Linked DNA regions of Callithrix jacchus. The protein of the gene in region 3 interacts with the protein of the main gene of each other region in a pairwise test. Links are inferred from orthologs where the notes say so. Each region holds a gene or a part of one and is shown on either strand. Other genes may lie near its edges. The genes, in order: PRKAB2, PLP1, CREB3L1 and FXYD3.

Region 1 (7,061 bases), on a different chromosome or scaffold from region 3:
AGGTTGGCAGAGCCTGAAACAAATAGAAGAGAAAAGGCGACAGGTAGGAGGACATCATTTGTGTCCCCTACACCTAAGATTTATCTCTTTCAATTGGGTTGTTTTGCAGTTCGCATTATTTAGGCCCTGAGACACCAAGACTAACTGACATTGATAATATAATCAGTCATCAATAAATAACTCAAATATTATTGCTGTATAATAATTTTATTAAACCGTTTTATGGAAAAAACCCACATTTCTGTATGTGTCACGCCATATAATTTCCAGGTGTGTTAGAGTCCAGTGACAAATTACATTTGGAGAACAGCTTTAAAATCCACTCCTGTATCCACTCCTATATGAAATATTGAAAAGCAGCTCTGTACCTCAGCACTAAAGGTTACAAAAAGCACCATTTAAAAGAGGACTCACATATTTAACTCCCTTCAAATTAGAGTCATCTCTCTCCTTTCCAAGAGACACAGAGCTGCACTCATTCGAAATGCTGCCGTGTAATACCAACCAGCATGCTCCAATTTACCAAAATTCAAACAAGTCTCATATGTGAGACCCACGCAGAGATTAGGACTGGCCAACAGCTGTGAGCTTTGGCTGTCCCAAAGCCACAAGCTGGGCTGGGTAAGTGTTCTGTGGAGGGGAACAGAAAAGAAGTGAGATCACCAATACCTAATACATTACTTAATGTAGGTATCCGTCGGCCATTTAACCTGACACCTACAAAATCCATAGTTTGGTATTTCACACCCGTCTTACTGCAAAAGTGCTGTGCTACATACAATTAATTCAAGTTAACTCCAATTAATATTGAAACTAATAAAAAGTTAATTTGTAATAAAGCTTATTCACTTAAAAGCACAATCAAGAAAACCCAATCAAGACAAAGCCCAAACTAGAATCCCAGAAGGATTCCATTGCTAAGAATTGGACTCTATAAGTAAGAGACTTGAGTTTTTCTCTTTTTTTCCTTCTTATAATTTAAAAAAAGATTTGGCTTTTTACTCTAAAAGTCTGGGTTCATTGCAGAAATCACAGTCCTTCCATCTCCAATTGTGATTGGCACTTAAGGAGAGACAAACGCTTAGATCCAGAGTTTCGCAAGACCCCAGTTGCTACCCTCCCGGGTCCTCCATACCGTGGGTAAGTGGAGTCAGCAGCCCTGGTAGAAGACAGCAACAACTGGGCTTGAAGGATGAACGGGAATAATGCGGGAATATACCGGACATCAGCTGTTAAGCCCATGCCCTGAATCACTAGAATGTGAGGATGTAGAAATCTCTGAGAATAGAATGAATTTCAAACACACACAAACATAGACTATTGCATATCATTTTTAGTTGAGGTCAAAATTATTAAAGCCCTGTTTCCCCAGTTAAAAGCAGGGAATTCTGTTAATATGTCTTCATTCATACTCCAGATGACTAGAAACCCAGTCTAGAGGTATCCCTTCTCCAAACTTAATGTCACTTTAACAGCATACATGGAACACTGCCACTTTTCAAAGTTTTTCTCCCAGACCCATTAGATCTACAGGAGACAAGAAAGAATTGGAGCAAAGTGAATGGGCCTGGGTTTGTAGGATTCTCACAAACTTCTCTTGGATTCTTCTTTTACAAAGTTTCTCTACCATACAAGTATACGTTTAAAAAGCCAACACTACTGAGGTCAGGTATGCCCTCCAGGGGTGTGGCCTAGAATGGTTAAATCCTATCCAATTCCAAGCTTAAAGGAGGCTAATCATCATGGTGTGGAATTTCTCCATACCAGCAGCATGGCTAACCCATGTGTTTTAGACAACGTCTGACACGCTGGTAAAGTCTGCCTGACAACTGAACTTAAAGCAGAATAGAGAGGAAAGGGAACAGAATTGGAACAAGATGAAAGGGAAGATGGTTTTACACTCTAATTCTGTACAGTGATATCCAAGGACGCCACCATGTGGTGTCTGATTTAATTTCCGTTTCAAAGAGGACATTTTCTGTTCCACGTTACTCAAGCCTTTATTCTCCTATGAACTCCTCAGCTCGGCCACTCTTCTCTTCCCCACAACTCCAAAACCATGCTGCAGTTCTTTAAGGGTCAGCCCCTGTGAAGACCTATTTTTTATTCTGCCTACTTTGACTCCATAAAATTCCAACAGGCAAAGAAAAGGCTAAAAAAGATTTTTTTGCCTTTAGTCATTTTCAAAATCTGTCAAACTCTCTCCTGCATAAAATTAATTATCCCTTTAATCAACAGACGAGGATGAATGAGCAGTGCTTTGGGTTACTTCCTTCTCTCCCTCCCTCTCTTCCAGGCAGAGCGAGACAAGGCCTCTCAGAACCACGGGATACATCAGCAGTATAGAAAAGGAGCAGTGCTGAGGAGTCATCGCCCCGTTCCTCCTACCCATTCCCTTCTATGCCAGCTGGGAGGCTCCCATTTCACATCTGGCTGAGAGTTACCTCCGAACATGGGAAATTGACACTCTGCACATTTCCAGATAGAAAGATCTAAAGGTCACTAGCACCAAACCCTCTGTCACTGGAGGCAGACCCAGTTCACAAAAGCCTTGGGCCTGAGAGAAATTGAAGAGATCTCTTTTCCTGCCCCCCTCTACTGATACACCTGTGAGGAGTAAAAATTTTCACACCTGAACACGTAGATACTACATTTTGATACTGTTTACAAGAAATATGAATATAACAAACTTCATGTAACAACCAAGATTTTGGATCTTCCTAAGTGGCCCACTTATTTAATGGGTATTGGATAAGAACAAAACTCTAGTACAACTGAAGATGCTAAATCCTGAGAGTTGGTTATAACAGGCTCTGGCCTGGATTTTTAAATGGCGCACTATTCAACAAGTGTCTGGGACCATAAAATGTTCTCCACAAAAGCCTTTCGCTGCAGAAGGTGGCCTCAGATGGCTGAAGTAGTATTTACTCTTAGCAATTAACCGCCAAAGCATTTAGTTACTTGCATCCCAGTAAAACAACAACCCCATACCTTACTCTCTCACACCTGGGACCCAAGAGGTCTACAGGCCCAAAGACAACTGTGTTGTCCGCTTTGCATGGGAAAGACAGGAGGTAGCTAACCTGACCTGGAGGTGCCCTTTCAGTGTGGCTAGGCTCATCTGAGCAGTCAGGGAGTCTCTCATTCATCAACAGTTTAGCCTCCTTCAGTGCTGAATATTTGCCTTCTTATCTGTAAAACGGAAGAGCCCCCGCCACTTGAGCAAAAATATTTTATCTCTGAACCCCAAAAGTCGATTGAATATTTTTCAGTTCACAAATGGAAATCAATGACCCCACTTCATCATCAAACACCTTTAAAAAGAAGAGGCCGGAGAACAAAATGATCTTGTTAACACTTAGTTAACAGTTAACAAAGCATGATGCTTTTCATGGTTGGGGATATTAGGAATACTCTCTTGTTTCTTGGCCTAACACATCTTTGAAATGAGGGAACTCGTTAGGTGCATCAAGTTCAATGAGTTAAATGAACCTGAGCAGTTTATCTAAAGCAGTGTTTAGTTATGTGTATAGGGCTGGCCATATTAATCTAAGACCACGGAGGGCTAGACTAGAGAAGAGAATTTGAGGAAGCATTTATCAAAAGCCTGAAATTCTCCAATGCAGTCTCTTAAGATCAATGAAAAGGTATTTTTTAAATTAAAAAAAAAAAAAATGCAAGCACATAAAAATCTTTCAAGGATGAAAGACATGAGAGTACTCCCTGGTTTCACTCCTACTTTCAGAAGTGTGTGCTGAGGGAGAAGAGATGAAGTAGGGCCAGGCCAAGAGGGAAGACTTTTGGGAATTTGCCAGTACAGCCTGAACCTTGGCACCAAACTCAAACAGAAGAGCAGATGTTCTGCATTCTGCCTGCCGTATAATGCTGAGACGTATTTTCCGGAGAAGTTAAAGCAAGCACTACAGGTGGCTTGGGCCTGTGCTGGGCTAAAAAGACCTTCTGGCAGCCCTCGTCTCTGGGGTGGGTCAGGTGCCCTAAAAAGTCACGTAGCCAGTGAGTTTTGTGCTAGCGAGGGGTCAGGCACGGGAGGCTGTTCCAGGAACAATGTGAAATGAGAAGGAAGGGTTCCTGTGAGGCAGCTGGTATCACATCAATACACAGACTGTGCCGCGTACTCTGGGAATACAGAGAACCCATGCAGAAAGACTGCCCTTGCAATGAGGCAGCCGTCTAGCACAATCCCATTCCTTGGAGAGCCCAGGTAGCAGTGATAGAGCCTCCGCCCAGCAAGGATCCTAAGAGTCTGCTGTTCTTTCATTTTAGGAAAAAAGCTTCCTATATAGTTATTCCCGCAGTGCCTCCAAACAGGTCTTGGTGAAAACCCACAGGCAGAGACAATACTTCTAGCTGCGGCTAGGAGGCTTCCATTTACCTTCTTCTCATATGTATATATATTTTTTTCTTAAAATAAATTCCGTGAACTCATAAAGCTCTCGTCTGCAATCAAATGCAAAAGCAGAGCATCCTACTCAGAGGCTCTGAAACACACATATCAGCCTCAAAGCAAATCAGCCTTCCAGTCTTAGGTAAGACTGGTTCAGTCCCGAAAGGCAACGGAGATGCTTCTCCTGAATCCTTGGAGGCAAGAAGGGATCCCTTCAGATGGGCTTGTACAGCAGAGTAGTAACATACTTCTTCTTGTAGCGATGGGTTGCGCTGAGGACCATCACACTGTCCTGCAAGAAGAAACACACGCAGCCAACTCATTAGTTAAGACAGCAGGTAGCGCCTCCCAGTCACTCACTGTTAACAGAGACAGCTTGACAGAAGAGAAGAAGGTTGGTTTTGGAGTCAAATCAGTTTCAGTTCCAATCTGATTCCTATTATTATTCTACTTGTGGCCTTGGGTAATCTACTGAATATGTCCAAGTCTTTTTATCTCGTTGTTACAAAAGATAATACCTACCATTGAGGTGGCTCTGATGATTACATGAGAATATCTGGCACAGTTTCTGACATGTGAGTGCTGAAGAAATATTAGTCTCCTACCTTGCTCCCTTCCCTACTTTAAATTCTAATATTGGGCTTAAAACTAGCAAGGAAAAGAAAGAAAGAAATATTCTGGCATCCACATCTAGAAGAAAGTCTTAAAGACAAAGAGAAAAAAAGAAACAATCCTTCTAAAAAACAATTCCCAAGTCCCAAAGCAGGTCTAATTTCCATTTAGTACCAGGGATAATTCAAAAAGTCGTCTCTGATTTAGAGGAAACCTAAAAATCCCTCTCTATCTTTGAACAAAGTAAACACCAAAATCCTCTTCAGAAGGACACCCAGTCCAATGGATCAATTCCAAACCACCTAAACAATCTGAGAGAATCAGGAATGGGTCAGAACCAAGCTGAGCCACAATCATCCACACCTTCACCTGAGTCAGAACCAGTAAGAAGTGAGCAAGAGGCACCATTTCCCAGGCTGTGTTACAGACTACGGATGTACCACAGGAGGAGGTGGCAAGCCTATGCATATTCAATGACGCCCAAGGAGCAGTTACAGGAGGCAAAATCCATCGGATCCCAAATAAGCCAAGCAAATCCAATTTAGAACCAGTGTATCCTTCCACCTCCCCCCATGCTGTACTATCCACAATGAATGCCTCTCCGGTTAACATTCCAGAATCATGTTGACTAACTAAAGCCTAAATATGACAGAAGCAAGGCAGGTAAAAAATGCACTTGACAGGTTTTGTGGAAATGAGGACCAGGTGAGAAAGAGCATCTTGGAAAGACCTGGCATGATGATAACACAGGAAAGAACATGACGTCAGCATGGAGGCTGGACCTCAGTCCTGCCTCTGGTACTTACTGGCACTTTGACCTTCTCTGAGCCTTAGTTTCTTTATCTATAAAACAGGGGTTAAAAATAATACTTATCTCACAGGTTATTGTAAAAATTCCATTCAGTAATATATTTGTAAGTATTACATTGTACCAGTGATTTCCCAAATCCAGCTACACATCCAAGAAGTAAAAGCAGCTTAAAAAAATTACTAGGGCCCATCCTAGGTACAGTTATTCAGGATCTCTAGGAATGGAACTGTCGAATCTGTATTTTGACAGGAGATTCTGATGATAATCAGCCTACTTTGATAACTGCAGAGCCGTATAACTTTATTCCAATAGCCAAACCACAAAGACATAACAAGACAGAATAGAATGGCTATTTTCAACTCAGACTCTAAAGCAGCAGAAAAACCAAGGAGGACTCTAGACTTGAAGGGGACCCGGCAAATCTGGTCACATTTCTCCATTACCTCGTGTTTAGGAGACATATAAGCCCCTAAGTATATATGAATGGGGTACCTGAAAGTAGCTCAAATCTACCTGTAAAAAAGTAAAAGCCTTAACATCACATTCAAGCATTCTTTGAACTGGAAGCTAAACCTGCTTTTTCTGCAGATGAAATCCTGTACTATGAACTCAAACTTAAGTCTCTGGTATAAAGATGCTAGTCACCCAAAAAGTAACTGGGCAGCAAAAAACTCCTATCAGAGGGCAATACAACCAGCCAAGTCACAGAGACTGAGATTTTGAAACAAACAACCTAGTAATTAAAAAAAGAGAGTTCTTCCATAACTTGATCATTACTACCAGCTTCAGCTTCAGTGAAACAGCAGAGAAAGTAACCACTGAGAACGTATGTTACCCTTGTCCTCTCATTCCAGGGAGCTCTATGTAGAGCCAGGGTTTCCACTTACCTTAATGGACAATGCATAGAGATGGTTCAGCATAACATGGTTGGGCTCAGGGAGTAAGGCTGGGTCACACTAAGAGAAAGAGAAAAAAATTACTAAATGAAATTAATGCACAGACAAATCAAACAGCTTACTCTTCCTCAGAGCTCTTTGGGATGTTGAGAAATTTGATCTAGAATGTGTTATCTCTTTTTAATAATGCACCCACTCCAGTATGTATCATTGATACAATCCTATTACAGAAAATTAGAAAAATTATCAGTCCAGGGTAGAAATCCTAAGCTTCAGCATCTACTAATCTTCCTTAAGAGAGCTAAAATAAAAGCCTTGCCCATAACACACAAGGAAG
Region 2 (7,532 bases), on a different chromosome or scaffold from region 3:
CGCCTCAAGTACCAGCTCCATGATGGAAATTCAGTGTGAATCTGGGAACTCATCAAAGGAAGGAGAGGAAGGGCTTTCATCGAAAGGAATGGTAGAAAGAGACCAATTGTACCCTGCACAATTCCCAGCCTGTCCCTTGAATCCAGCTGACAAAGGGAGAGATAGAAGAACCCTATACAATAGAGCTAAACAACAGGCAGGCTCATTGAGTGAGAAAGTGGCCCCATCTCCCTAGGTCTCGAATCTGCACTACAGTCTTACCCTCCTCCCAGAACCCACCCCTTAACCTCACCCCATGAACAGAGGCCTCCTTGATCAGGGCCTACAGCAGTTGATAAGGCCGAAATGCTAGAGCAGCCGTGACTGGTACTAGGGATGGATGGGGATCAGTGGGTGGGTTCTAGGAGTAAAACAATAATCATCAAGAGGTGCCAGAGACAAACAAAGACTTTTGCTTCTGGCCTCATCCTGGTTAGACAATGCCCTGCCTATAATTTTGTCTTTCCTACATGTCCCTTGTGATATCAGCACTTATATACCACATTCAAGTGCTGGAAAAGAGTCCCAAAGCCTCTGGGGCCTGGGAATCTGAGCCTGCTGGATAGTCAAGTCATGTGGACAAGGTTAAGTAAAAAGGAATCTCAGCCTCCTCTTTGGTCCCCTTTTAGTATTACCATGGCAACAGCATCTGGACCATGTTTCCTATACTCCCTACTCCTCTTCAGATACACACACACACACACACACACACACACACACATAGAATGAATGAGGTACACATTCCGATTTATGTACAAGCATTGGGAAGCTGAGGTAAGACTTTGATTCTTAAAACTTATCCTTGGCACATTGTCTCTACCTTGCCCACGACTGGGAAGATAAAAGAGAAGTAACTGGTACTAGAGATAAGAGTAGCCATACCTTGTTCCTCAGGTCATTCTCCCACCATTTCCCCCTCTCTCCTTGGTTACAGTGTGAAGCTGATCTGGGGAACCTTATCCTCTTCCTTGGAACTCTTTTCTAGAGCCCTGCCTGGCAGACAGCTCAGAGACCAGTGCAGAGCTGAGAGATAGCCCTCGGGGCCATTTTGCAGTAGCCAAGAGGGATTAATCAATCAGCACTTGCTGCGCTTCTGAAGTAGGTCTGGCACTGAGTAGGCTCTGAAAGCAGAAAACGAAGGGAAAGTGGTTCCATTCACCTACGATGACTGCTGTGACCCTTCCTGATCATGTCACTGTCCTCATTTGATCTTCTCTAGACCTGAAGTACTGTGGGCAGGGAAGGCATTTCTACTGCTGCTTTCTTTCAAGACAAAGAGCTGTACCCAGGGGATGGCTTTCAAGGCTTCGGGACAATAGACAAAAGCAGTGGGGAAAAGTGATGTTACTGGCTGGAGTTCTACTTTAATGGGTTTGGAGACTATATTTCCCCTCCCACCCACCTCCCAGGGTTGAGGGTGTTATTACTCAGATCACTCTGAGAGAGCAGTTCTAGTTGTCAGGGTGTTAAGTACATTTCTGGCTTTCCTAGCTCAGAGCCAAGGCAAAGACCCCCTAAAGCAGGGTATACCTTTCAATCTGCCTGGCTCTCCAAGAGCTCCTCTGGCTCTGCACAGCCAGAGAGAGAAGTCAGGTGGGGAAGGCTGCACTTGATTATGTTAGTCAGCGTCTCCAGGAAGACTAGTGAACATGAATATGAACATGGTGGTTTGGATCTGGTTTATTTTTGGATCCTGGCATTCTTGGTGCATTTGTGCCATTTTGATGGGATTCAGTTATTCTTCGGGCATTGTATAAAACTGGACCCCCGCTCTGCTGCTACACTTTTTGCCTGGGCTCCACCCACTTACTCCAAGCCAGCCAAAACTATACTGCTTGGCAAACAGCCACTTTTGGATGAAGGCATCACAGTCTGGTTACCAGGGTAACAGCCACTGTTCTCAGACGACAACAGGCTTACAGACAATGTTTTGCTGTTCAATAATGGCATTGTGTTACTGAGCAGAGAATAATCAGTTACTGCTCTTTGGCTCCTTTCCGGTTCCATCGTTATCCCAAAGACTTACTTGGAACATTCCCCTTTCAATCAAGGCAAAATTTAATAAGCTATCATTTTCCCCATAAACCTTTTGTGCAGACACTACTGAAGTGTTCCTCGTTGCTTCCAATCCTAAGGGATTCTATATGGTTGAGGTAGTAAGTTCCCTGTTTCTGGAGGTGATTAAGCAGAGGCTATACAAACGTTTAATTAGTTGTTGTAAAAATGAATCCCATACTGAAGGTTGGTTCAGACGACTTCTAAAGTTCCTTCCAATCCCAGATTCCAGGATACAATGTGTTTACTGCAATTGTTGAACAGCAGTGCACTCCACTTCAGAAGTAGTGGCAGTCCCGTACCTTGTTAGAGATGGTCTATAATTCAAAGTATTGTAGACACTCTATTACTGAATAAATGGAAACTCAGTGGCTGCTCCATCACATGTACCTGGCCCAAGTATCATCCACCCTTAGGAGCTGGGAACCAATGCGCATCCTCAATGGTGCCCTTATCTGTGGCAATCTTCCTCTGGAGGCAATCACCCAGCCTCCATAACAGGCAACTGTCCCTGTGGTCACCTTATTTGTTCCTACCTTTCCTCAGGGATTTCATCCTCTGAGGAAGTAATATTCAACATCCTTCTTTACTCCCTCTCTGTTTTTAATGCACAACCTAGCCAATCCGCTGGGCTGACATTAGATAAGGTTCTTGATGTTACCCAGGGCAGGAATTGAGTTCCTCCAACATTCACCTCTCACCTGGCCACACTTCATTGGTCAAATGAATCTGATCCAAGCACACAAAGAAAACCCAACCACCCCAGAAAGAGGAAGAGTCAGCCTATGTACACATTATTGTCTAATAGTAGGTATTATCATGATTTACAATTGTTATAGATCTTGCCCATTTTCAAAGACTTCCATATTATTGTTACTTGATTCTTACAACCCTGAAAATAGACAAAGTAGTTATTGCTATCTCCATTTTCCAGATGAGGAAATGGTGATTCAGTGACCTGCCCAAGGTCACGCAGTTCATAAGTAGCAGATCTGGGATTGGAATCTGATTTTTCTGACTCCTTGTCCAGTGCTCTGCCCTCCTATTTTACCTTGCACATGCTTCAAAGTGTTCTCTCAGTATTTCATGATGAAACACCTAAAGGCTGAACCAGATCAATATAATTGCAAATTGATCTCTGTGGATGCTATCTACTCGGTGCTACATTTGATAGGGAATACATGGGACAACTGAGTCTCATTTCATTTAGGATGTGTTTAAGCTGCTCTCTGTTTTGCCAAATGTGAGCAATGTCTACATGACTCTGTGAAGTCCCATAGGGACAAAGACCCTTGTGCTCTGCACACCTTACTCTGAGTAGAAACTAACACCAGAACCTCATAGCTTCTGTCTTTGTTCATGGAACCTAGAAAAGCCCTCAATACTCCACCAACTTAGCAAGAGCCCTAATGTCCCAGCAGCCTCCTTGTCATAGCAGAGAGCCCTCAGGAAAGCTATGTCTGTGATATTTGTTAGAAATAGTCACCCCTGTATGTGCACACACACATATGCACATACACACACACTCCTACCCGTATTTGTTTCCCATGGTCAAGCCATTGAGGACTTTATTTCATTTCCTGAACCTGGCAATGGCCTTCTCAGCCGTGGCCAAGCCTGAGTCCAGCTTGCCCAACCCCCAGCTTCCTACTGATGTCAAACGTAGTTCAAAGATTGCATCAAGCAAGCAATTAGTTTGTACATCTGAGGTCTAGACAGTGCTCAGTGACCTCCAGCAGAACCAGGAGAGCAAGCAGACCCAACCGTTACCAGGGCCTTGGAACCAAGGGAAAAGAGAAGATAGAGGGAAGTGAGGGGGTAGGAGGACACATGACCACATCCATCTGGCTGGGCACTCTCTCCAGAGATGTGTGTGACTCTCCACGTGCTGCTGGAATTCTTTGGTAATAAAGCATCATGCTCAGTACAGCAGAGAAGGAGTTAACCTAACTGAATGTTAAGGAATTTAAAAAGAAAACAAGTGCCAAATCACGACTCATGTAAACCATTGGAACCCCCGAACCCCAAAGTTGGAAATTCTCTTGCGAATTCCTGTGTCTGCTTGAATCTTCAATGCTAAAGTTTTTGAAACTTACCCATGTCTTTGGGACTCTGACTCCAATTGTAGCCGGCTGACTAGTCTGCTTTGTGGCTGACTTTGTTCAGCTGGAAGGATCCTGGTCTCTCCAGTCTCCTTCTTCGGTCTTTTACTTTTTCTCTCTGAGTATCTTTGTCCTCTTCTCTTGCAATGAAAAGGGCTTTCTGATTGACAGCCAACCCCCTTAAAGGGACAGGCTTGCTTTCCTCCTCCTCTCCTCCTCCCCTTCTCCTCCCCTTGTCCCCACCTCCTCAGGGATACTCCCTTTTCTAAGGGCTCCCGTCTTCTCTTTCTGCCTTTCACTACCAATTGTTTCATTGTCTTTGTTTCTCCTTTTCCCTGAGGCTTGCCTGGAATTTCACTTTGCTGCAGAGACATCTGGAAATGTGGATTGAGGGTGGAAATAAAATGAAGAGGTCCTGGAAACTTCCTTGGGTCTAATAGTGTGGGATGTGCAGTACAAGCATGAGAAGCCATCAAGTGGGAGCCCCGAGAGGGGCTCAGAGTCAAAATCCTAGATGTTAGTTCCCAAAGTCCTTCCAAATCTGCCCCAGCTCCCCACCTCACTCCCAGTTGCCCTTGGACCTCTCCACCTTTCCCTTCCCCCAACTTCTTGGAAAATAAGCATTCCTCCCCCTCACCCAGCTCTATGAACACAATAGAGAAGAAAAAACTGTCTTTTAAGATAATTTCCTCCAAATCCATTTCAGTTTCAACTGCATGAAGACAAAATGCAGGCTGTCAATTCGATGAACAGAATGTGATTAGGCTGGGGAAGGCTAGCGTTGTAATAATTTTATAGCTGCAATAATGGAGACCCAAAAGTGGACAAGAAGACCTTTGCAAGTTCGCAGACTATGCTAAAGAAAAGGCCAGAGCTGAAGATGTGGGTGATTTCCAAGGAGGAGAATCAACTTTGAGACAAGTCAAGAACACAATTAGGGAATCAGGTAGTCAACATTCCATCCTGAGAATGTAATGTCTTCATCAGAGAGCTGAAGCCAGGCAGGCGAGAGGCAGGGAGTGGGTTGAAGGGAAGCAGCAGGTGGCAGTGAGGGTGGAGAGGAGAAACGAAATATAGTCCTTGCCACAGAGAAAGAAGCAGTGAGACAAAAATGGCTAAGCAGCAAAAACAGGGAAATACTATATAAAACCTGCCTTAGCAATCAGTTATTTCTAAAGATTGTGAGGTATTTGAATGCCCAATGCTAGATGGGACCAGCCTGGGAGGGTTTTCTAGAACAGGTGAATCTTAAGCAGTGTCTGTCTGGGCTCCTTGTCAGTGTCGTGTCTCCCTTCACAGCTCCCTTGACTTAGAGGCCAGCGTCCTTCCATGGATGGCCTTTAAAAATACTGGCTGGCACATAATAAGAGGGTCACACGTTGGAAGACTCTGGAGAAGGAAGGTATGGTCTCCTGGAATGTTTTCTGTGGTTTTGCTTTGGGAGAGGAGAGAAGAGGAGGGAGATATTGAGCGGAGACTAGTACCATCCTGTTGGGGGAGAGAAGTAAAATTGTGTCTTACAGTTTTCTCTTTGGGCTATGACCTTGGACGTGCTACTGGCTTGGGCTCTGCTGTTAGGAAGTAGGTAGGTCTTCTGCAGATGCCCCTGTGGGCCCACCGGAGGCCAAATCCTGCACCGTTTGAGGCTTGCTTCGCGTCCTAGAACTGTAGATCCTTTGCTCTTATATCAGCCCCAAGAAGAAAGGACCCCTGGAAATACTGCCCCTTGCAGAACAGTATAATAGTAGCTTTCCAGAGCAGATCAGACTAAGGCCATATGACTGATGGAAAAGGATCTTAGGGCCCCTTGCCCTCCCCAGCCCTGCTTGCCAGCCATAGACTATGCCTGCTTTGGAAGCTCAACTGTAGGATTGTGCCAGCAATAAACTTCTGGATGGTCACTGTTGGAATGGCCCTGGAGAAGGGGGAGGACCAAGAGCAAGAAGTCACCAAATGTGTCCCCTTAGCTCATCAGATGGCAGGCGTGAGCCCAAACTTTGGGAGTTCAAATTTAGAGGATGAGAGAAAAGATCCTTCACAGCTCGAATAGATGAGACAGCTCTGCACACAGAGGACATAATTCTGACTGAGCCCTCTCACAAAGCTTCCCCTAGATTCTCAGCAGCAGCTCTGTGGTTGGCAAGGCTACTGGGAAGAAAATATGTGTGCCCAGTAAACTCACAGATGCCGATTTACCAAGCACATCCCCCTAACACACATGTCTCTTCTCCTTTACTCAATCTCCACTGCCCTAATATTCATTCTATCTCCTCTCCAAGTCTCAATCTCTGTCTCTGTTACCTGTCTCTTTCTCCATTTCTGTGTGTCTGTCTCTCTCTGTTCCCTTCTTTTTCTCTCTCCGCATTCCCTGTCTTCTCCTTGTTCTTATGCTTGTTCTTATGCCCAGGGACAGAAAAGGGGCCCAGCCAGGTGCCCATGTCTCACTCATCCCAGTGCCTTAAGGTTTCCAACTCCCTAGGATCTAGTGTGTTCTCATTGCTCTGTACACCCCGACACTGCCTCAGCACCTCATCAGCCGACCTTTCCTGAGGGCTCCCTGCAGACCTCATAGGGTATCTTCCCAGGTCTTCCAGAAGCCATTTTTTATCTACACACCCCAACCCGTTTCTGTGATTCTGCTTCCATTGGTTCTGCTGGGTGACCTTGGCAAAATATTCTCCAGAGTCCAGCTGGACTCCTGGCAGTGCTAAGAGATTCCTCAAGAGGGCACTGCCAGCCTTCTTGGTGGCAGCCTGCTGCCTGTACTGGATGCCTGTGGGAACAATGCAGGATTGTATGAAACTCGTAAACAATTTGCTTCATGCAATTCTGATGATACCTCAGAGAATCTGGGCCCCCTTGATCATAGCTTGGTTTGGTTGTGCAGCTTTCTTGCAAATAACTCAAAAACAGTTGGCTATTACCTCCACTCTCTGCTCTATGATCCCATAGTATCCGATTATTGAAGGCCACAGAGCAAGTTCTCTTTGCTCCACTGTGTAGACCGAACTCTGAAACTCAGGGAAATCCGGTGAATTTCTACCAGGAAAAACTAAATAAGGGCTCAAGTGCCCAATCTAGTGGCTCACTTCTACCTGAACACAGAGAAGATCAAAAAGGGGAGGAGAGAAGGTACAGTACCAGTAAAAGCCTGGAATCACCTGCTACCATTTGGGCTTCTAGAGCTGAGGCTTTGCTTCTCATTCCCAAGATAATGTCTTCCCAGACCAAATTTTAAAAGACAACTGGTTGTTTCTTACAGCTTTCCTAGCCCTGGCATAGAAGGCTGGCTGGCTGGCAGGCAGTATATTATGTCCTATGTACTTGTGGTTAGAA
Region 3 (7,061 bases):
CGTGATCTGCCCACCTCGGCCTCCCAAAGTGCTGGGATTACAAGGTGTGAGCCACTGCCCGTGGCCCTACTTTTTGTATTTTTAGTAGAGATGGGGTTTCACCATGCTGGCCAGGTTGGTTTCAAATTCCTGACCTCAAGTGATCCACCCACCTTGGCCTCCCGAAGCGCTGGGATCACAGGAGTGAGCTGCTGCACCCGGCCAGTCCACCACTTACTTTCTGTGAGACCTGAAATAAGTTTCTTCCCCATTCTAAGTCCTAGTTTGCCCTTCGGAGAAGCAAGACAAACATTTGTTGGACACCCAACATTTGCTAGGCATTATGCAAGGCCCACAGACCTATGTCGAGTGGTTAAAATCTTACAGAAACTCTAGGGAATGAGGTCTCTTTAGTCCCTCTTCCCCGAGCAGGCAGCTGAAGTTCCAGGCACTTAGGGAAGTTGTCCCCCCTGAAGGGAGGATGCGAACCCAGGCCTGCCTGGCGCTAGGATCTGCCACCTCGGTGTCTCTGCAGCCATGTCCTCACAGTCTGTGTGAACAGTGGTCCCTGGAACAGTGCAATGCACCAGTTCTGCACACCAGCCTGCTCCAAAGCCATCTGCCTGCTGGGATGTGTCCTCCTCTCTGCCCAGCTCACGTCTTGGGCCTAAAATCCACTGCCTTCCCTCCAAGGGGCTCATTCATTCCCTCCTCTAGCTGTGGCTTTCTCCATCAACCCCAGCTCTCTTTCCATTCCATTCTCTCCAGTGGCTTCTGTGACCTTGGAAAAGCAGACACATGGCTCCCCAGACCTTGCTCCCATCGCTGCTGCCCACATGCCTTTAGCGACTATCCTGTTCTCTCCTCCTCAGGCTGCACATGTCCGGGGAGGGGCTTTCACTTTCCCCACCTCTGCTTCCTCTTCCCCTAACCCTCCCCACACCAGCTTCCTCCCCTCAAGGCGCTGGATGTCTAGCTCATCCTCCCTGCCATATCCCTCCTTCTTGAAACTCACTCCTTAATCTTCCCTCCTCTGACCTCTTATCTGCTTCCTCTTCCTCCTCCTGCCCTGCCAGACACGTGGTTCTTGGTAAGTGACTGGTAATTGATGAGGGACTGCCAGGAAGTTCCTCTGTGGGTCCATCTGAAGGATCCTCTCCCTCTGAAATCCACATTCTTCTTTGCTAGGCCCTACCCCAGTTCTCCCTTTGCCAGCTACTACGATGTAGCTCTTCTCTCCTCCGTGAACTTTTCCCAAAGAGATTGAATTTGATCATTTCATAAGCACAGACACTGTGCTGTTTCATGCACTGTCTCACAGCCATGGCTCAGTAAGTGCAGAATTGCCACTCCCATTTTCTAGATGAAGAAATGAAAGCTCAGGGAGCTTAAGACATATGCCCCAGGTCACACAGTTAGCACTTGGCAGTGCCAGTTATGACAGACTTGCTATCTCCATGCTCCTAACCACTATACTTCACTATACCCTGTGCAAATGGTAGATATCTGAACCCACACCACCACTACCCTTCCTCTGTCTGTGGTAGGCATTATCAATGGATCATGACACTCCTTCCTGTCGATTCTGAATGGTGCCTCAGAGTCTTTCTTTTTTTTGAGACGGAGTCTCACTCTATCATCCAGGCTGGAGTGCAGTGGCATAATCTTGGCTCACTGCAACCTCTGCCTCCAAGGTTCAAACGATTCTCCTGTCTCAGCACCCCAAGTAGCCAGGACTACAGGCACACACCACCATGCCCAGCTAATTTTTGTATTTTTAGTAGAGACAGAGTTTCACCACGTTGGCCAGGCTGGTCTTGAAATCCTGACCTCAGCTGATTCACCTGCCTCAGCCTCCCAAAGTGCTGGGATCACAGGCATCAGCCACCGTGCCCGGGTCAGGGTCCTTCTTAACACAATGTTTCAAGCAGCTACCACCACCTTATTGGAAATGACCTTTGAGCTGAAACTCACTTGCTGTACCTATCATGATATACTGATGGTGCCTAACGGATGCCCCATAAACACTGACCATAATGCATGGGACCTGGGGCTGGAACATTCCTGTCATCCTCTAAACCCACCTCCTGCAAGCCACTCCTGAAGCTCTCTGGGAGCTAGGCTGGGCATCAGGAGCGCTGTATTTTAGTCCCAATTCTACCACAAAGCATAGACTTTCTTTGGGCCTCAGTTTCCCCATCTGGAAAATGACGAGGCAGAATGAGATAATGCTGACCCACACTTGGCTTCTCTCTTTTGTCTGGCTTCTGCCTAGACACTGGGGTTGGGGCAGGGCAGCCCCAGCCCAGGGAGTTGGCGGGACAAGAGGGCACTCACTCTGGCTGGCCGTGTAGACGCTGTCTGCGGCCATGGGGTCTTTCTTCACAGTCTGGGAGCCGGAGGAGAACTCGGGAAGGCAGGGCACAAGGGAGCCCAGCACCAGAACAAAGCACAAGGCTGCCACCTGGTAGCAAAGAGAGTGGCATCAGATCTGGGGCGAGGAGAGCTGTGGTCCTGACCACCCTACCCCTTATCTCCCAAACCAACAAGTACAAAAGTCTCAGCATTTTCCCAAGGAAACAGCTCCTACAGCCAACCACTCTCTCCTACACGTGGGGTCTCCTATCCTCTCTGGGGAAGAGAGGGGCCGCTCAGGCCATCCCAGCCCATTGTAGGGGGGTTGCCACAGGCAGTGCTAGAAGCAGGAGGGAAGTGGACAATGGAAAGTCACTCTATGGGGTAGAGGAGTCAGGAAAGGAAGGGACAGGTGCAGGTGGGGCTCGGGGCTGGGTTGAGGGAGGGGGACACACCAGCACATCACGTTATCAGCAGGATTTGGGAAAGCCTGGCTAGCAGGAGTGCTGAGAGCCAGGGAGCCCACATGCCCCTGTCCATAGTCTGGCTCTGCCACCCGACAGCTCCAGGGTCTTGGAGGGCTGGGGTGGGCTGAGCCAGGTGGCAAGAGGCTGGCCATTTCCAGAAGAGGATGGAAGAGGGACTAGAAGAGGTCTGAAGCACACCCTGGGAGCCCTTCCAGGTTTCCAGGGGTTTCCTTGGCCTTTTCACAGCCATCCGTTCCAGAAAGAACCAGGTTCATTCTTCCCTGAGTCTCCCCAAGCCCTTCTCTGCACAAAGCCTGTGGAAGCCGCCTCCTCAAGGAACCTGCCCAGCTGTCCCCTAGCTGGGGCCACTGGTGTCACCAACACATCTACACTGTGTCGACCAGTTGGGGATGGGTGTGAGGCAGAAGGCGCCATGGGCTCGGGGAAGGAGGCTGGGGTCGTCTAGAACCACCCACCAGGTACCAGGACGGTGTACCCTGGTGACGCCGCCCATGATGTTACCAATCCTCAGAGCTCTGCCCACCCCTGGAAAAAGCTGGCTTTGGGAAGAACGCTCCTCCTGTGGGCCTGTGGTGGAGGGGGCCACACCTACCATGAGGCAGGTCCCAGTCTGGGTGGCCGCCATCTTGTAAGGTCTGGAGATCTTGTTGGTGACCAGAGTCTGGAGTTTCTGCAGCTGCTGGAGCAGGGTCCTGAGGAGGGCACAGTGGTCAGCTGGCGGACTCTGACCTCACAAACATCTCTGCCTCCTGGAGCCCTCCTAGGGGGGCTGGCTCGAGATTTGGCCTCCACACCAGGTGCCCGTCTCAGTCAAGATAGGAAAAGTCACCTCCTGTGTGGCTCCTCCGTGGAGTGGCCTGCTTCATGGTGACTGGCCAGGTCGCCCTGTGGAAGCTCAGGGCTGCCCTGTGATGCTCCTGGCCGAGGGAGTTGGAGGAGGGAAGACCCTCTCCCAGCTGTACAGAGGCCAGCCTTCTATGGCTTAACCTTCCCTCCCTGGCACCCCCCCCCCAGCACCCTGAACTGATAAGAAGGACCTGTCTGGCACAGTGCCTGGTATGGAGTGAGTGTCTAGTAAATGGTAGTTATTGTTAGTGTCAGGTGCTTTGTTTTGTATTGAGACAGAGTCTAGTCTTGCTCTGTCACCCAGGCTGGAGTGCAGGGGTGTGATCTCAGCTCACTGCAACCTCCGCCTCCCAGTTTCAAGTGATTCTCCTGCCTCAGCCTCTCAAGTAGCGGGGATTACAGGCATCTGCCAGCACGCCTGGTTAACTTTTTGTACTTTTAGTAGAGATGGGGTTTCACCATGTTGGCCAGGCTGGTTTTGAACTTCTGACCTCGTGACCCACCCACCATGGCCTCCCGAAGTGCTGGGATTACAGGCGTGAGCCACCGCACCCAGCTGTTTTTGTTGGTTTTGTTGCTGTGTTTGCTTTCACCACAACCCTTTGTTTATTTAGATTTCCATGTCAGTCTCCTTCACTAACTGTGGCCTCCTTGAGGGTGAGGACTGGGTCCCACTGAGCATGGAATCTTCTAGGTGCACAGAGAACGTGTTCAGTACAGGCTTAGTGGGCAAATTAATCTCTCTCCACCTAACTGGGCATGTGGGAGTTGCAGTTCCCATAATGTACAGCAGGTGGCGAAATAGCTCCAAGGGTCTGGACCTACTTTGGGCCAGAAAGGAACCCCCAGCCAGAGACAGAGGGGTGGAAGGGTGAGGTGGGATTCTCCAGGCCAACCAGGGAACAGAGGAGTGGCTGGATCCCCCTGGAGAAGCTGGGGAAGAATGAAGGAAAGAAGAAAAAAGTCTTGTGTTGAGCACCTGCTGCATACCAGGCTGTTGTCCAGGTTATTGTAATTGATTCCAGAAAATAATTATTAAAGACCTACCAGAGGCTCATGGCTGGGCACTATCAGAAATCTGGAATAAAAAATAATGGCTCATGCCTGTAATCCCAGCACTTTGGGAGGCCAAGGCAGGAGGATTACATGAGGTCAAGAGTTCAAGACCAGCCTGGCCAATATAGCGAAACGCTGTCTCTACTAAAAATAAAAAAAAAAAATAGCCAGGTATGGTGGTACAAGTCTGTAATCCCAGCTATTTGGGAGGCTGAGGCACAAGAATATCTTGAACCCAAGAGGCATAGGTTGCAGTGAGCTGAGATTGTGCCACTGCAGCCTGGGCAGCAGAGCAAGACTCAAAAATAAATAAATAAATAAATAACACAAAATAATGACAGAAGGCCAAGTGCAGTGTCTTATGCCTCCAATCCCAGCACTTTGGGAGCCAAAGCAGGAAATATGCTTGAACCCAGGAGTTTGAGACCAGCCTGGGCAATATACCAAGACCTTGTCTCTACAAAATACTTAAAAAAAATTAGCCATGGATGGTGGTGTGCACCTGTGGTCCTAGCTACTTAGAATCAGGAGATCAGGCTGCAGTGAGCAATGATCGCCTCATTACACTCCAGCGTGGGCAACAGAGCCAGACCCTGTCTCAAGAAAATGAATAAAAACAATGAAAGAAGAATAAAAGCTGACATGAATTGCACATTCCTAAATACCAAGCATCAGGCTGGGTCCTTTGCTTGCATGATCTCTTATCAATCCAATGAGATAATGTTTCTTTCTTTCTTTCTTTTTTTTTTTTTTTGAGACAGTCTCACTTTGCCAGCCAGGCTGGAGTACATTGGGGTGATCTCAACTCACTGTAACCTCTGCCTCCCGGGTTCCAGCAATTCTCCTGCCTCAACCTCCTGAGTAGCTGATATTACAGGTGTGCACCACCACACCTGGCTAATTTTTGTATTTTTAGTAGAGATAGGGTTTTGCCATGTTGTCCAGGCTGGTCTTGAACTTCCAACCTCAAGCGATCCACCTACCTTGGCCTCCCAAAGTGCTGGGATTACAGCTGTAAGCCGCTGTGCCTGTGCCTGGCCCTATGAGATAATGTTTCTATCATCCCATTTAGACAAAGAAACAGGGGCCCAGAGATGTTTAACGATTTCTCCACAGAGTTGAAAAAATGGCAGAGCAGGGCAAGAACCCAGAGCTGTGACTTTGCGTGGCTGCTACCCGCCAGGCACTGCGCTCCTGTCTCTAGAATCCTGTTTCTCAAACTTTATAGCGCCCGTGAATCACCTAAGGATCTTGTGAACATGCAGTTTCTAGCTCAGTAAGTCTGGAGAGAGTTCTGAAATTCTGCATTTTTTTTTTTTTTTTTGAAATGGAGTGTGGCCCAGCCTGGAGTGCAGTGGCACAATCTCAGCTCACTGCAACCCCCACCTTCTGGTTCAAGTGATTCTCCTGCCTCAGTCTCTCGAGTAGCTGGGAGTACAGGTGCCCGCTACCATGCCCAGCTAATTTTTTAATTTTTAGTAGAGACAGGGTTTCACCATGTTGGTCAGGCTGGTCTTGAACTCCTGACCTGAAATGTTCTACCCGCTTCATCCTCCCAAAGTGCTGGAATTACAGGCACGAGTCACTGCACCTGGCCTGCATTTCTAATAAGCTCCCAAGTGATGCTGATGTTTCCTGTCCGGGTAACTGGCTTTGAGTAACAAGGTTCTACACGAGTGGTTCTCAGACTTGAGGGTGCATCCAAATTCCCTCGAGGGCTTATGAAAACACAGAGTTCTGGGCCCTACCCCTGGAGCTTCTGACTCAGTAGACCTGGCATGGGGCCAGAGAATAAGCATTTCTAACGATTCTTGGGGGTTGTTGCTGGTCTGAGGACCACACTTTGAAAACATCTGCTCACTTAAGCAACTCACCAGCCCTGCCAGGTGTCTTGCAGGTGAAGAAAAATGGGAACACAGGGAGGGGCAGGATGTAAGTGGCCCAAGGCTATAAGGCATGTTTCTTTTTTTTTTTTTTTTTTGTATCTTTAGTAGAGACGGGGTTTCACCATGTTGACCAGTATGGTCTCGATATCTTGACCTCGTGATCCACCCGCCTCAGCTTCCCAAAGTGCTGGGATTACAGGCTTGAGCCACCGTGCCCGGCCCTAGGGCATGTTTCTGAGGTCCCTGTCATCCTAAACTTAGTTCTCTCTCCTCTCTCCTGTCTCCCAGAGCTATGCACAGCCAGGCGTGGGTTGCAGAGGAGCAGGAGGCCAGGTGGGATGCAGAAGGCGCCACCCACCTGTTGGCATTTTCCAGGGTCTCCACCTTCTTCCACAGTTCATTGTTCTCTGATGTAAATGTCTCCACCCTGTAGGGGCCAAGCAGGCAGAGG
Region 4 (7,571 bases), on a different chromosome or scaffold from region 3:
ATTGAAAAAGTAAAAAAAAAAGGACTGGGTGCAGTGGCTCTGGCCTGTAGTCCCAATGCTTTTGGAGGCCAAGGTGGGAGGATTACTTGAAGTCAGGAGTTCGAGACCAGCCTGGCCAATATGATGAAACCATGTCTCGTCTAAAAATACAAAAAGTAGCCAGGCACGGCGGCACACGCCTGTAGTCCTAGCTACTTGGAGGCTGAGGCAGAAGAATCACTTGAACTTGGGAGGTAGAGATTGCAGTGAGCCAAGATCATGCCACTGCACTCCAGGCTGGGTGCAAAACTCTGTCTCAAAAAAATAAGGAAAAAAATGTATGTTGGAAGGTGTTAAAGGTGCAGTTGCACCCAGCCGAGCCTGCTCCTTCAAGTTTTTAGAAAACGTTTACAGATCAAAGTATCTTTATGAACAAAAGAGTAAGGGAGGTTATGCAGTAGTTAGCCAGCAAAAAAAAAGATAATGTACAAGGCCGGGCGCGGTGGCTCAAGCCTGTAATCCCAGCACTTTGGGAGGCCGAGGCGGGTGGATCACGAGGTCAAGAGATCGAGATCATCCTGGTCAACATGGTGAAACCCCATCTCTACAAAAATACAAAAAAATAAGCTGGGCATGATAGCGCGTGCCTGTAGTCCCAGCTACTCAGGAGGCTGAGGCAGGAGAATTGCCTGAACCCAGGAGGCGGAGGTTGCAGTGAGCCGAGATCGCGCCATTGCACTCCAGTCTGGGCAACAAGAGCGAAACTCCGTCTCAAAAAAAACAAAAACAAAAACAAAAGAAAATGTACAAGAGAACTGGCCGGGCAGTTATCTTCTTTCAGTGCTTTGAAGGTGTCGTTTTATTTCTTCTAGCTTCCCTTATTTCTGTTTAATAGTCAATCAAGGCTGGTGGATTACACACCTGTAATCCCAGCACTTTGGAAGGCTTAAGTGGGAGGATCAAACTCATCCAGGGGTTTGAGACCAGCTTGGGCAACATAGTGAGACCCCATCTCTGCAAAAAATTTAAAAACAAGCTGGGCATGGCGTTGTGTGTCTGGAGTCCTCGCTGTGTAGGAGGCTAAGAGAGTAGGATTGCTTGACCCCAGGATTTCAAGGCTGTGGTTAACTGTGATGGTGCCATTGCACTCCAGCCTGAGCAACAGACTCAGGAAAAAAAACAGAAGAGAGTGAGAGAATGGGGAAGACGGTGACTTTGCAGCTGTGCAACCAGCTCTTCTGTGTCTCCCTGGCAATCACTGGTTTGACTTTTCTTTTCTTTATTTTTTTTGAGACAGAGTTTCGCTCAGGCTGGAGTGCAATGGTGCACACTCAGCTCACTATAACATCCACCTCCCAAGTTCAAGCAATTTCTCCCGCCTCAGCCTCCCAAGTAACTGGAATTACAGGCATGCACCACCACACCCGGCTAATTTTGTTTCCCTATGTTGGTCAGGCTGGTCTTGAACTCCCGACCTCACGTGATCCACCCGCCTTGGCCTCCCAAAGAGCTGAGATTACAGGAGAGAGCCACTGCACCCAGCTAATTTTGTATTTTTAGTAGAGATGGGGTTTCATCATGTTGATCAGGCTGGTCTTGAACTCCGACCCAGGTGATCTACCTGCCTCGGCCTCCAAGAGAGCTGGGATTACAGGCCTCCTGACTTGCATACGGCCACTGCATACGGCCAGTATGACTTTTCTTACCCTCAAGGCGATGCTGTTCTAACATTTACCACCTCCCTGGGAAGGTAGAAAAGCACAGGAGAGAGACAGAGGCTTGGCTGCCCTCCGAGCTGGGGGATCCAGGTGAAAAAGCAGTGGAGGGATGGGTACTCACCTGCCAGGAACACGAGCAGGCCCAGGGTCGCCTTCTGCATGTCAGAGTGCTGTGCTGGCCTAGAGGGGTGGCAGGAGGTCTGGCCTTAGCAGAGCCACTGGGATGCTGGCCCTGTGCTGTGGCTCCCCAAACCTCCTCCCCTGCTGCTCAGGCAGGGTGTGCAGCTCACCCCGGGCAAACAGGCTGGCACTGGGACTCGCTGGGCTGAGAGGTAAGCAGCAGCCGTGCCGTGGGAGCGGGGCCTGGGTGGAACCCAGGCCTGACTCGGGAGCAGCCGTAATAACTCCCTGGACACCGACTTCAGGCTTTCCGTGAATCGCCCACCACCAAACGAGGGTGCCACTGCCTGCTGTTACCCTTATTGAACAGATGGGGAAACTGAGGCTCTGAGAGGTGAAACTAGGTGCCCTCGCCAGGAAGCAGGATTTAAAGCAGGCCTGGCTCCCCAGCAGCTGCTCCTAACTTAGGGCTGTAAGGGCCTTGTGTGTTTGGGGAAGTGGGGTGCTGGGAGCCAGGTGGCAGGAGGCCCGATTCCCGGGAGTGTCTCCACAGACAGCTCGGAGCCTGCCTGGCCCTGCCAGGACACGGCAGACTTCAGGCTGTGGACTGAGCAGGTTCTTCAAGCTGCCCAGGGCAGGGTGTGGGAAGGAGATGACTTGAGACTGGGACTGCGGGTAGAGGGGAACAATCTCGGCTTGGCTGCATGTTCCCCTGAACCTCCCGTCACCTCATCCCCACCCTCGCCCTTCCCAGTCCCAGCCCTAGCTCTGCCTAGCCTGGGTCCCCAGCCCAGCCCCTGACCTGGCCCCAGGCCCTCGAGGCAGCAAACACTTTCTCTTTCCCAGACAGGCCTGCAAGGCTGCTGCAGCAAGCCCCTGGATGCCATGCATGCCCTCCCCTGCCCTGCCCCTGCCCAACTGCTGAGCACATAGTTACCATAATTTTTTTTTTTTTTGGAGGCAGAGTTTTGCGCTGTCACCTAGGCTGGAGTGCAGTGGCATGATCTCAGCTCACTGAAACTTCTGCCTCAGCCTCCCAAATAGCAGAGACTACAGGTGAGTGCCACCATGCCCCACTAATTTTTGTATCTTTAATAGAAATAGGGTTTCACCATGTTGACCAGGCTGGCCTCAAACTCCTGACCTCAGGTGATCTGCTCACGTCGGCCTCCCTAAGTGCTGAGAATACAGATTTGAGCCACCGCACCTGGCCTAGTTATAATTTTGATAGCAAGAGCTGGCACTTCCTCCCCTCGCCCTGGGGTGCACACTGACCTTGCTGTTTCTCACTCACCTAACCTCCCAGCAACCCCGAGGTCATCCCCTAGTCTGCATTTCACAGATGGCAGAAATGCTGAGAGACGGCAGTGCCAGCATCCAGTGGTGTGGGTGGTCCCTGCTGGTTGGCACAGACTCCTCCCTCTGCCCGCCCACCCCGGAGCCTGGGAATCCTCTCAGCTTCCCGGTTAATTCCAGATGCTGGACTCACAGTTTTACTTTGAGCAACCATTTCTTTTCCTTTTTTGGGGGGGGTTGGGGGTTTGGAGGGGAAGAAAGCCTGAGACTTCGGGAGCTTTACTGAGGCCCACGAAGTGTTTAGAACGCCCAGAAGAGTTGGCGGGGGAGCTGGCAAGGGTGGGTGGGCAAGACCACATGGTGGATATGGGCACAGGTGGTAGGTGGCCTGCCTGTGGTCCGAAGCTGTCACCCACGACCATACGAATCCTGGTAATCCACGCAGATACAGACTGAGTGTCTACCCACAGGGCGTTTTCTCAGCTTCCCACTTTTTAATTCATATAATCTCTGCAGCTTCGTGCAGGGGGCACTATGATTAGCCCACTTGGCAGTTGCAATCCTGTGACCCTGCAAATTCATCTTAAAGCCCTATGCTCTGTCACCGTGGCTGTTGAGTCTCACCTCTTAAGCCTCTTTCCAGGGGCTCCTCCAAGCCACCTCTGGCCTGTGAAGCCCAACTCTTCCCCCTTCCCATGTTATCATCCAGCAGAGACTGACAGATGGTATCTGCCTCACCCAGCCTCTGCATAACAATGTCCAGCCCCACGTTTCCAGAGGCTTCGGGGAGCCGGGAGCTGGGTCTGCCCTCATATTCCCTGTTCAGGCTGTTGTTTGAAGAGGCCCCAGCTGCTCCTGAACCGATGTGGGCGGCGGGCAGGTTAGAAGAGGAAGGCAGCCCTGCAGCTAGCGCTCTGTCTACCTGCTGTGATTCTTCCTGGCCACGAGGTCCCAATGCCCGCCTGAGGACCATCTCCACAACCTGCCCTCTGCTAACCCCAATTCCTCCATGACGTGAGAGAAGGGGCTCATCCTCAAGGGCAAGCAGAAGGGTCCCGCCCCTTCTGTGTACCTCAAACTTCCCAAGCAACTCCCCATTTACAGCTTCCCCCAGCAGCTCCATCCTCTTTTCCTAGAGGTCTCCAGAATCCAGATTCCCCGCAATACCTGGACTCCCCGGGTCCACCCAGCACTCATCCACCCAGATGTCCCAAGTCCATTTACACACCACTGGTCCACTTGGATACCCCTGCTTACCCAGGCACCCCCTCTTCTTCACCTGGATATCCCCAACCCAGATACCCCTAATCCATGCAGGCCTCAGTCTTCCCAGACAACCCAACCACACTTACGGGTCCTGCCCTCACCCCAGCTGGCTCAACCAGTCGCTGAGGAGCATGGGGGGAAAGGGACATTAGGGGAAGGGCCTTTCTCCTATCTCCTGGCTCTAGAAATGCACCTCAAAAGATTTTATGCTCTTTAACAGCTGAGCTTCTATGTGGTGGGGAAGTGGGTGGGTAGGTTCTCCCTAATTTAGGAGCAGAGCCAAGGAGGGCTTGGAGGAAAGGGCCCCAGCTGCTCACCTGTGGGGTTCACCACGCTGATCAGAGGTTCCAGGAGAAGTCGGGGCTGCCAGGCGGAGTCCTGCCTTTATCCGAAGCTGCCACGCCCTAAGCAAACCTGGGCAGGTAGAAAACAAGTTAGATGCCCTAAGGCCCAGGGGCTCCATTCCTGCTCTTAAAGAGACAGCTTCACCCCCTCCCCAGCCTCAGGCATCAGATGGCTCCCTGGAATTCCCAGGGCCACAGCAGCCTCAGGTGAGAGGGAGAATTAGATGGGATGGAACTCGGCCCCTGAAATTAAGGAAGGAGCTTTCTCCAGTCTCCTGATCCCAGGAGAGGACCTTAAAGGGTGAAGGTTCTGGGAGGTCTTTTTTTTTGGAGAGTTTTGCTCTTGCCCAGGCTGGAGTGCAATGGCACGATCTCACCTCACCACAACCTCCACCTTCTGGGTTCAAGTGATTCTCCTACCTCAGCCTCCCGAGTAGCTGGGATTACAGGCATGTGCCACCACACCTGGCTAATTTCATATTTTTAGTAGAGACAAGGTTTCTCCATGTTTTTCTGGCTGGTCTCGAACTCCCGACCTCAGGTGATCTGCCCATCTCAGCCTCCCAAAGTGCTGGGATTACAGGCCCTCGCCCTGGGGGTTCCAGGGTCTTTAAAGGACAGAGCCTCCGGGGCCATGGAGGGAGGAGGGAGGTGAGGCTTGCTGTCCCGACCTCACTTCTTTTCCTTAGATGGTGTGTTTGCCCGATGGAAGGATTGCTGGCAACTGTGGGGAACTTAACGTTTCCTTCCAGGCCACATCTTTTTTTTTTTTTCTTCGAGATGGAGTTTCACTCTTGTTACTCAGGCTGGAGTGCAATGGTGCGATCTCACCGTAACCTCTGCCTCCTGGGTTCAGGCAATTCTGCCTCAGCCTCCTGAGTAGCTGGGATTACAGGCATGCGCCACCATGCCCAGCTAATTTTCATATTTTTAGTAGAGACGGGGTTTCACCTTGTTGACCAGGATGGTCTCGATCTCTTGACCTCGGGATCCACCTGCCTTGGCCTGCCAAAGTGCTGGGATTACAGGCGTGAGCCACCGCGCCCGGCCTCCAGGCCACATCTTGCTTGCTGGTACAGTTTCAGGGTCAGCAGAAGATGCTGGGATGACCAAAGTCAGGAGATGGGGCGGGGTGGATACAGGGAAGTGGCTGGAATGGCAGGGAGGGGTTGGGGTGGGGACTGTGGGACCTTAGGCCTGGTCATCACCCGCTCCCTGCCCTGGGGAGAATGAGAACTGGCTCCCAGGCATCAGGCTGAAGTTTCCCAGCCAGGCTCATTCCATGGGTGCTGAGTGAGATCCAGATGGCTGGGTCTGCAGAGTGGGCGCTGTTGGGGGCGGCGGCCTCCCAATCCAGATAAGGCCCCCTTCACTGTGCTAGTCCCCCTCCCCCTTCCCTCCTCCCTCTCCTGCTCCTCCTCCTCCAGGCATTCCTTCCGGATGGGGTCTGTGCAGGCCCCCCCATGGTCCCAGTTGGGGGTGCCCCCTCCCCTCAATTCCGCCTTCTTAGACAGAGGGACTTTTGTCTGGGGGCTGGATGGAGAACAAGGATTCTTTGAGCGGTTGGCGGAGGATTGGGGTCACGGGGAGGGGTAGGGCCAGGAAAGGGGAAGCTTTGCCCTGGCCACCAGCTGGACTCCAGGCGACCCCAACACCATCGTGGGGGCAGGGAGGAGGGCCACAGGGCCAGGCCAGGGAGAGGCAGCTGCTGGGAGCATGAAGCACAGGACAGGAAAAGGGGGTTCGGGTCAAGGCTCTGCCAGGAACTGCCCTGCTGGGGACACAAAGAAGGACCCCCCCCACCCCAGTTCTCATCGTGGAGGGATGGGGCGGGCAATACTTGCCCAGAGCTACACCCTTTCTCTCTGTGGTTCCCTGGGGCAAGCTGTCAATCCCAGGCCTTCCCTAGACAAGGACAAGGCTCCCTCCTACCCCTGTGAAGGAGGGGTCAGTCCCCACAAGGAAGAGGGGCCCTTGGGATAGGGCTCCAAGCAAGAGCCCCAGGAAGAGATAGAAACAGGAAGGAGAGGCCTGGGGGCCAAGTCAGTGTAGCTAAGGGGGTCTTTGTGTCTGGGCAGATAGCATCTTCCCCAGACCCTTCAAGCTTGATTGTGTCTGGGACAACCCCTTGGGGGTCTTGGGAGTGGAATGGTTTTCCCTCTGCTGGGAAGCCTGGGAACTGCAGGCAGCCGAGAGCAAGTCGTGGTGTGTGCAGGATAGCTGGGGGGGTCGGGGGTGCTCTGCCTTTCACCTGAACAGGGTGAACTGGAGAACGGTTGTCTAAAAATCCTGGAGGAACCCGACTGCCTGTGGATGGATACAGAAGTACTTTCCAGACAGACTGCTAAGGGAAAAAATAAAAATAAAAACAAGGTGTAGGGAAACCCTGGAGTGTGCTGTCGTTTGTGAGCGGTAACGTAATGCATATGCATATACTTCTAATGAATAAAATATTTTTGGGGATTGGCATCCAGGGCTGCTTCTGGGGAGGGGAACTAGGAGGCTGGAGGATGGGGTGGAAGTGAGACTCACTCAGCATCACAAGCCCTCTTATAGCTTTTGAATTTTGCATCCTGAAAATGTACTACCTTAAAGAGGTTTAATTTTAAAAATTGGGTTCAGATTTTTTAAAAATTTTCCAGGTCAAACAAAACACATCTAAGGGCTAGTTTCAACCCAGGAACCAGCAATTATAGCCTTCTGACAATCTCTGAATGTTCTGTAGTTTTAAACACCATGATCTTACATTCTGATGTACAGATGTTTACGGAATTTTACCCAACCCAGGTCAACCATAAATTCTTCCTGGGCTGGACGTGAACATGCTGCATCCAAGTGTGTGCTGGGC

What was found.
Region 1: the proteins of CREB3L1 (region 3) and PRKAB2 interact in binary tests that used the Homo sapiens proteins (3 or more experiments, as listed by UniProt). The link is inferred for Callithrix jacchus from reciprocal best matches to the Homo sapiens genes CREB3L1 and PRKAB2.
Region 2: the proteins of CREB3L1 (region 3) and PLP1 interact in binary tests that used the Homo sapiens proteins (3 or more experiments, as listed by UniProt). The two-hybrid records come from large-scale screens. The link is inferred for Callithrix jacchus from reciprocal best matches to the Homo sapiens genes CREB3L1 and PLP1.
Region 4: the proteins of CREB3L1 (region 3) and FXYD3 interact in binary tests that used the Homo sapiens proteins (3 or more experiments, as listed by UniProt). The two-hybrid records come from large-scale screens. The link is inferred for Callithrix jacchus from reciprocal best matches to the Homo sapiens genes CREB3L1 and FXYD3.

What each region holds. Positions count from the first base shown.
Region 1 is NC_133519.1:7,274,354-7,281,414, forward strand, and holds the end of PRKAB2 (5'-AMP-activated protein kinase subunit beta-2), read right to left. Parts: intron 6,785-7,061; coding exon 6,716-6,784; intron 5,861-6,715; coding exon 5,824-5,860; intron 4,698-5,823; coding exon 4,465-4,697; 3' UTR 192-4,464; downstream 1-191. UniProt on the Homo sapiens protein: Non-catalytic subunit of AMP-activated protein kinase (AMPK), an energy sensor protein kinase that plays a key role in regulating cellular energy metabolism.
Region 2 is NC_133524.1:99,823,593-99,831,124, reverse strand, and holds the start of PLP1 (myelin proteolipid protein), read right to left. Parts: upstream 4,317-7,532; 5' UTR 4,195-4,316; coding exon 4,191-4,194; intron 1-4,190.
Region 3 is NC_133511.1:111,333,181-111,340,241, reverse strand, and holds part of CREB3L1 (cyclic AMP-responsive element-binding protein 3-like protein 1), read right to left. Parts: intron 7,038-7,061; coding exon 6,969-7,037; intron 3,515-6,968; coding exon 3,415-3,514; intron 2,444-3,414; coding exon 2,317-2,443; intron 1-2,316.
Region 4 is NC_133523.1:31,452,115-31,459,685, reverse strand, and holds the start of FXYD3 (FXYD domain-containing ion transport regulator 3), read right to left. Parts: upstream 4,739-7,571; 5' UTR 4,697-4,738; intron 1,878-4,696; 5' UTR 1,859-1,877; coding exon 1,819-1,858; intron 1-1,818. UniProt on the Homo sapiens protein: Associates with and regulates the activity of the sodium/potassium-transporting ATPase (NKA) which transports Na(+) out of the cell and K(+) into the cell.